2 linked regions of the Arabidopsis thaliana genome follow. The protein of the gene in region 1 interacts with the protein of each later gene in a pairwise test. Each region holds a gene or a part of one and is shown in the gene's direction. Other genes may lie near its edges.

Region 1 (3,972 bases):
GTACTTGTTCCTGAGTTCCTCCGTCACTAACCAGTGCGGACCATGTCAGTATCCAAGCACCCACACGCTCGTCGTCTCTTGAAAACATCTCACACAAATACACAACGGCTCGGACTAATAACTTGCCATCTAAGAAAAGCTAATTGACCTAAGGCTTTGTGGCACCTGCATGTAAAAAGCAAACACGAATTTGCCACGTTATTACAAAGCATACCACGTCACCGTCTCACTGTTACACTATCTCTTGTTCTCCTTTATTTCGCTATGGACAACAAAAATTATAAGGTGGGGAAGAGATGTCTCAAAATACTTTTTTATCGTCCTCTCAATTTATGTAACTGATAATAATCGAAATAGATAAATTTAATTGTAGGTTGACAAAGCGCTAATTTTAATAAAAACATATATTAGTTTGGAAAATTTTGTCGTAGTAAGTAATTAAACCTATCAATCTTGACTAATAATTTCAAGTATCCCATAAAAATCAAAATTGTCCTTAGGTTTTGAAATTGTACTACTGATAGTACGTAATTAAACAAACAAAAGCTATAGCTTGTGGATTATAGCTAATCCCATTTGGCGATGAGAGTAATATATATATTGTTCAAATAAAGTTGTAATTAAGATTCGATTGAAAAGGTAAATTATAGTTTAAGAAAAACAAAGAGAGGAGACAACAATTAAAAAAATGAAAAGTGGAGAACTGTACTCTCGCCTATACGAGGAGGTCATTATCTCCAAGGCTCTCAAGGATTAAGGACCATGCTTTGATTCTATAAATGTTGTTTTATTCAAACTATTTATATTATTATATCATACGTAATATGTGGTTAGCATTTGACCCACGTCCCCTTAATTAAGTCTAGATTAATCCCATTAATCTATCCAATTAATAATTAGGAAAATTTTATATAAGATTGCTATTGGATTTCTCGGTGGTGGTTTAAACTATAAAATAGTAATGCCTTTGATGCGTGTGATTTTTTATTGGAACTTATTGGTTTTAATTCTTAACCTAGCAATTATATTTGTAGTAGTTTATGTTAATCATTGTTTAATAATACTCCTATAATAACTCTTGCAAGTAGCAACACTTGTGTGGCTATTTATTCCAGAGTCCATGGATATGTATGTATAAGAAAATAGGAGTGCTTTTGCAGATTGAAGAGTTTGTCTATAAAATCATGTTTACTTGGCATTTAGTGTTATTGTTTGCAATTTTTTATTTTAAATTAGTCGGATATTTTAAGTTAAAATCTGAATACACAGCATGTTCCTTCTAACGTTTTTTAACATAATTGTAAACTAAAGAAAAATTATAATATAATAAATTAAATTATACCCTCTCTATTCATTGTAGAAGATTTGTTTGTTTCACCAAATGTGTTTTTTTTTTATAAGTTGCTCTCACTCTTGAGAGTTTTGGAGTATTTTGAAGAGGACGAGGTTCTTTTGTGAAAAAGTGAAAGAAACAAATCATGTCAAGAATTAGAAAGAAATCATGACAAATAATTTTGTTTGTGCAGAAATTACAAATGAATCATAGATATCCTTCTAATTCGGGATCGGAAACCAGTTGAAAAATCGATGGACTAAGCTTTCTATATTGGGACTAGCTTACCCTTAGAATTAGTCAAGCAGCTTAAATCATCTATGACTTAAAATTATAATTAAGAAAAAACAATGCCTAAATATGCATATATTTCAAATGTATCACATAACTTGTGACATAAGAAAATATAAACAAAACAAAAAGGGCAAAAAAGACCTGAAAGCTTAGAGGCACACCTGCATAGGTCCCACAGTTCACTCGTGACACCGTAAAAGGCAAAACACGAACCCGCCACGTTATCACAAAAAGCAAGCCACGTCAATATAGTCTCACTGTCAACTACACTTAACTTACTATTTTCACATCTCATTTTCCTATCTTTATATAAACCCTCCAGGCTCCTCTTTAATTTCTTTACCACCACCAACAACAAACATATAAACCATAAGGAAAACAGAGAAAGAGAGAGATGGAGGACGACAATAGTAACAACAACAACAACAACAACGTGATCGCACCTTTCATCGTGAAAACATATCAGATGGTCAATGATCCTTCCACCGATTGGCTCATCACTTGGGGACCTGCTCACAACAGTTTCATAGTCGTTGATCCACTCGACTTCTCGCAACGAATCTTACCTGCTTATTTCAAACACAACAATTTCAGCAGTTTTGTTCGTCAACTCAACACCTATGTAAGTTAATTCATAACCGAAACTCATACATGAAACTGGAAACAGGGGATTACGAACTAATGATCCTTTCTTTATTTACTTTAGGGGTTTAGGAAAGTGGATCCGGACCGGTGGGAGTTTGCGAACGAGCATTTTCTAAGGGGACAGAAGCATTTGTTGAATAACATAGCGCGTAGGAAACACGCGCGGGGGATGTACGGTCAAGATTTGGAGGACGGTGAGATTGTGAGGGAGATCGAACGGTTAAAAGAAGAGCAGAGGGAGCTAGAGGCAGAGATTCAGAGGATGAACCGGAGGATCGAAGCGACGGAGAAGAGACCGGAGCAGATGATGGCGTTTCTTTACAAAGTCGTTGAAGATCCTGATCTTCTTCCAAGAATGATGCTCGAGAAAGAACGGACAAAGCAACAACAACAAGTTTCCGACAAGAAGAAGCGTCGTGTCACGATGTCGACGGTGAAGTCAGAGGAAGAAGAAGTGGAAGAAGATGAAGGGAGGGTCTTTAGGGTTATGTCATCATCAACACCGTCGCCGTCATCAACGGAGAATCTTTACCGGAATCATTCACCGGATGGGTGGATTGTTCCTATGACGCAAGGACAGTTTGGTAGTTACGAGACGGGTTTGGTGGCGAAGTCGATGCTCTCGAATTCAACGTCGTCGACGTCATCATCTTTGACGTCGACGTTTTCTTTGCCGGAGAGTGTTAACGGAGGAGGAGGAGGAGGATGTGGGAGTATTCAGGGAGAAAGAAGGTATAAAGAAACGGCGACGTTTGGAGGAGTGGTAGAGTCAAATCCACCAACAACACCGCCTTATCCATTTTCTCTGTTTCGAGGTGGCTTTTAGCGTTTAGCTTCACATGATATATGATCTTTAGACTTTATTATTGTTATATTATTATTATTATTTATTTTTTGTGTGTTTGTTCTTAATTATTTTATGTATAACCAAAAGAAAGAAAGAAAATAAGGACAGATCCATAGTTGAGTCAGTAGTCATCGTTTGTAGAAAGTTTTGACAGTATATAATTTCTGATTATATTTGTTAAAAGTTCATATGTTGACTTTGTTTTCCTTTTAAAAGTACTTTCAGGTGACTTGTGTAATATATTCACACTTGTAATAACAACAATTTTGATCTTCTTCACTACTTCAGTGTTTTGATTTTTGAATAAAGTATTATTGTAGCCTTATATCTTTGTAATAACAACAAAATATAGGCTTTACTTTTTCCACTTTAAGCTAGTAATTAAGTCTATATACCATTTCAAATTTATCGTTAATGGCCATCTTTAAACTAAACCATATCGAGTATTTGACTCTTTCTCTTGAAACACTTGTTCTCAAACACATTAACGAATCAGTTGACATGGTATATAGACTTACTAGCTTATATAACCCACATGCTTAAAGCTGATCATAAAGTAGAAGAAACATTGCCTATATATAACCCACGTGGTTAAGGCGACACAAGTCGGTCGACTGATAACAAGTCAACGAGACATCCATTCAAGATTCAAACGTATCATCAACACGACGCTCCACTTTCACTTTCATCTAAAATTGATAACATGACATTGTTAAATTTTGAGACGTGACAGTTAGCCACGGGACTTTGGTCGGCCAACAACGTTTCGAACACTCATTGGGCTAGAGAGAGAGAGAGTATAAAACAACGATAAATCTAAATTGGACCACCTGATGTCTCTCACACGAGGACG
Region 2 (4,722 bases), on another chromosome or scaffold:
CTCACACGTGGAAGAACCATGTCCGATGGTTCATTATTTTCAAAAGCTTACTCTTTTTTTTTTGGTGTGGCAAAAGCTTACTCTTTTAAATAAGATTGAGTTTTTTTTTTTGGTAACATACGCTTCTTGTGATTAAGTTCATTTAAAGCAACACAATAATTCTTGTGTTTTTTATTTGCATGTAAAGGTAGACACAAAACTCGAATCTAAAATCAATAATTTTATTTGTTTAGTGACTGATTTGAAAAAAACGCAGAATAAACTAACCTGATTAAAAAAAAAGAGAGTTTATATTGGAGCTTACTGAATTCTATCGATCTAAAGTATAAGATGACAAAAAATTCCTCGTATCATTTGGGTTTAAATATATGATGGGATGGTAAATGGTAATTAAAGCCAATAGTAATAATTTATAAAATAATAACGACAAAACGAAATAAAGGAAGAAAATTTGCAAGAATAACTAACAAAAACTTATAAATTAAGAAAGTAACACAAAACAAAAAAACAGATATACTCTCTATATTATATATAATAATGGTATATTTACCCATTTTTCTCCACCTCATTCTAAGTCCCTCCTTCTCTCTTCACCTCTCATCTCTTTTTCTTTCTTCTCTCAATCTTTTTTTTTTTTCTTTTTTTGTATCACATAACAAACAAACGAGAAGGACAAAATAGATTTTTCAGATACCACTTATGTTATCTGGTTGCTTGAGTTGCCAAGGTTGTATCTTAGGGTATAGTTTTTCTATACATCCAAAATAGTATAGTACAACATTTTATTTCTATCCAAAATAGTACATGTTTTTACTTACAAACACTATTTACTATTTTATAAATTCAAATCCGATTTTAAAAATTCAAACTATTTTGTATGTAGAAAAAATATAGGTTTTTTCTAATAAATTTTATAATTGGAATTTATTTTTTGGAAAAGATATATAACAAAAAAAAAACAAATAGGTGAAAAACTAAACTAAATGTTACTAAATCATTTTACCTCCAATTCAACACTAAAATTGTCTTTTCCTTATCCTTACATGCTATTTTCTTAATTTTTATATATATGGTACTATATTTTTAATTTGTTTGTCAAATATGGTTATTCAGCTAAATCACCCAATAGAGACTCAATAGAGACTGAGAGAGAGAAAAAGAAGGGTTTCTCGTAAAATCTCCAAATTCATTTGAACTTTCCCAAACATTGGAATATGTGTAAGTCCCATAGGAGTAGGACAGAGTCGATAGGGGTGTGATCCTAACATACCAGAGAAAGATCGTCGAATCCTCCATTTCTTTTTATGGCAACCATATTTTAATTATATACTACTATTTATTAATTTAATTGGGTGTGATTTTTACTTCGCGTAATATAAATATGCTTTTTCTACATTTTCCCAATAATTTTGTAAAAGTGTAAAGTCTCTACAAAAACATTGTTTAGTCCTCCTTTTTTGGTCTAAATATTTGTTTAGTCCTATATCCATATTTTGTGACACTACTAGTATTATAAAAACATAACAAATTCTCAAGTTACACTTCTCGTTTTGTTTGGGTCAACCACACAACACCACAAGTTTTACTTGTACAAAGTAATTGTTTGTTTATGTTTTTCTGTTGTATGTATTTTTTTTAATTGGTCAAAAGAAAATATGTTTTAAATAAAAAGGTGAAAAAAGGCCTATGGGATTGGAATAATAAGATAGAAAACAAAATAGCATGCTTTGCTTCCTCCACTAAACTTCCTTTAAGGGCAGAGAGAGAGATAAAAAGATTGATTGCGTGTGTTTCACACCAATAAATCCCTTTATTTTTATTTTTTGGTCTCCAAATTTACTAACTTCTAATAATTTCCAATTTTACCCCTTATTTTTCTTCCTTTGGTTTTAACCTATTCACTGCATTTCCTTGGTATAAAATCCAACTTCTTCTCCTTCAAGAATCTAGAGATAGAGAGAGAGAGAGAACACAAAGTGGGAAAAAAGATAAGAACCCACCATAAAGTTTTAACATTTTTCCCTTCAAAAGGCGAAAGCTTTTGATTTGTATAAAAGTCCCACTTAATCACCTCTCTAGCTTCTCATTCCATTTCCATCTCCTCTCTTTTGTTTTCTAAGTTGCTTCAAGAGTTTTGGATAGTGTAGCAGAGAGATTTTAACTAATGGGTTTATAAAATTTTGTTCTTTTGCGTGAACAAGTTGTCAACTTCTAGACAGATTTTCTTTTTGAAGTGTTTTCTTGTCGAAATTCTTCTTCTTTTGGTCAAAGAACGCAAGATTCTTCTGTAGTTCCTCTAAAAAAAATCCTAATGGAGGGTTATTCAAGAAACGGTGAAATCTCTCCGAAGCTGCTTGACTTGATGATTCCACAAGAGAGAAGAAATTGGTTTCACGATGAGAAAAACTCTGTTTTCAAAACAGAGGAGAAGAAGCTTGAGCTAAAGCTTGGACCACCTGGTGAAGAAGATGATGATGAATCGATGATAAGACACATGAAGAAAGAACCAAAAGACAAATCTATCCTCTCTCTCGCTGGCAAATACTTCTCTCCTTCTTCCACCAAAACCACATCCCATAAAAGGTTTTAAACTTCTCATCTCTTACTTTTTGTTTTTCTCTGTTTTGTATCCTTCTCACATGATGATATTCACTTGTTATTAGCCAATAAGGTCCCATCTATCTGCATAAACTTTGTTCTTGTCTGCTTAAGATTGGATCTCAAAACTTTTCATCTTTTTACCCTTTTCCCATCTGAAAGTTTCAGTCTTTTTACTGCCCTAGTTTTCCTCTGTTTTTAACCTTGAGATTGTTCTTGTCTTACTAACAAGTTTTGTTTTGATGCCTTTGTGTTTTAAAGAACTGCTCCTGGTCCAGTGGTGGGATGGCCTCCGGTTCGATCCTTCAGGAAGAATTTAGCTAGTGGAAGTTCTTCAAAGCTTGGAAATGACTCAACCACCTCCAATGGTGTTACCCTCAAGAACCAAAAGTGTGATGCTGCTGCTAAGACAACAGAACCAAAGAGACAAGGAGGCATGTTTGTGAAGATCAACATGTATGGTGTTCCCATTGGTCGTAAAGTTGATCTCAGTGCTCATAATAGCTATGAGCAGTTATCTTTCACAGTTGACAAGCTCTTCAGAGGTCTTCTTGCAGGTAAATTTGAAACCTTTGTCTCTCTATTGATTATGGTTAAAAAAGGGTTGAATTTTGAACTCTAATTGTTCTTATTTTATCAGCTCAAAGAGACTTTCCATCATCCATAGAAGATGAAAAACCAATCACTGGATTATTAGATGGGAATGGAGAATATACTCTTACATATGAAGACAATGAAGGAGACAAGATGCTTGTAGGAGATGTTCCATGGCAGTAAGAATCTTTTCTTTTCTTTTTCGTTTTTTTCTGAATCTGAGTCAGCTTTTTGTTCTATCTAAAGGAGAAGTATTAGATTCCTAGTCACATATTTATTATATCTTAATCACAGTTTGATTAATAACAAACTTAGTTTGGTTAAGCTATTAAAGATTGTGGACTTTTTGATCACTAAAATTGATTATTTCTTAAATTGTCAGAATGTTTGTGTCTTCGGTGAAGAGGCTGCGTGTGATTAAAACTTCTGAGATTTCTTCAGCATTAACATGTAAGTGTAGGATTTTAATAACATTTTTTAGTTGTTTTGGTGACTCTTTTAAGTGAAGTTCTTAGAATGTTTTTTTGTTGTTTTGAAATTTGCAGATGGAAATGGTAAGCAAGAGAAAATGAGAAGATGAAGAAAAAGATCTTTTACAGCTTTTAAAGAAGTAGAGAGATGTTATTAATTGCATTTTGCCTTTAAACTTTGATGAGTTTTTGGTCTTGGAAAAGTTTCTGATATAAGTCTGATGTACATTCTGGTTTGTTACATCTTCTTTTGGCTTTTGAGATATCATAGAGTTTTGTTGGAACTCAAAGACCAAACAGTGCAATGATGATTTTGGGGTCTTGAGTAAATTTACAAACCCTTTTAGGCATATTATAATAGTCTTCTGTTTTTAAGTTTTGGTAATGATTATTCACACTTGATCAACACTTTTAAGTAATGTAACTCTCCCTATGTCAGCAAAGCATCCTTTTCGAAAAACGGAGAAAAGAAACAATCTTTTTCTCTGCCAAAAAGCTCTTTAGCTTTTATTAAATCTATACTTAGGGTATCCGCTATTGTAATGAACTATGAGAGTGAAAGGTTTTAAAACATTGAACAACTTTTCTTTAAATGAGCTGTTAGGACAGATATTCAAACCATTGTCTAACCACATCTTTCATCTTTGTCTGGACTCTTGGGCAACAAAATTACAGACATCATTAGATTATCATCTTCTGATTATTGATCTACATATTTGATAATACTTGATATGATATAGTTTCTATGTATAATCATCTCTAAATTTATGTTTCTAGTTTAGCTTTTGTGTTTCGTAGAATAGATATATAAAATAAAGGGTTGTTCATAAGCATATGTATTCATACGATCAAATCGTTTAAAAGGAAAAAAGGAAGAAAAAATTGGTGGGTATGGAATATTGATAAAGAGAGTACAAAATAGAAAAATTGAAGAGAAGTCTTTTTCGTTGAGAGTCTTGCCTAACTATTCGAAGCAGCAATATGAGACCTTATAGTTACTTTTTTCCTTTTGCCTTCGAAAATGTTCATTCTATATTCTTTTGAAGTCTACAGTGATATT

The links.
Region 2: the proteins of HSFC1 (region 1) and IAA18 interact in binary tests that used the Arabidopsis thaliana proteins (3 or more experiments, as listed by UniProt).

Annotation. Positions count from the first base shown.
Region 1 is NC_003074.8:8,939,434-8,943,405, forward strand, and holds HSFC1 (heat shock transcription factor C1), read left to right. Parts: upstream 1-1,632; 5' UTR 1,633-2,021; coding exon 2,022-2,249; intron 2,250-2,278; exon of another isoform or gene 2,279-2,333; coding exon 2,334-3,098; 3' UTR 3,099-3,441; downstream 3,442-3,972. UniProt on the Arabidopsis thaliana protein: Transcriptional regulator that specifically binds DNA sequence 5'-AGAAnnTTCT-3' known as heat shock promoter elements (HSE).
Region 2 is NC_003070.9:19,303,359-19,308,080, forward strand, and holds IAA18 (indole-3-acetic acid inducible 18), read left to right. Parts: upstream 1-1,722; 5' UTR 1,723-2,311; coding exon 2,312-2,583; intron 2,584-2,859; coding exon 2,860-3,155; intron 3,156-3,238; coding exon 3,239-3,371; intron 3,372-3,574; coding exon 3,575-3,642; intron 3,643-3,737; coding exon 3,738-3,772; 3' UTR 3,773-4,160; downstream 4,161-4,722. UniProt on the Arabidopsis thaliana protein: Aux/IAA proteins are short-lived transcriptional factors that function as repressors of early auxin response genes at low auxin concentrations.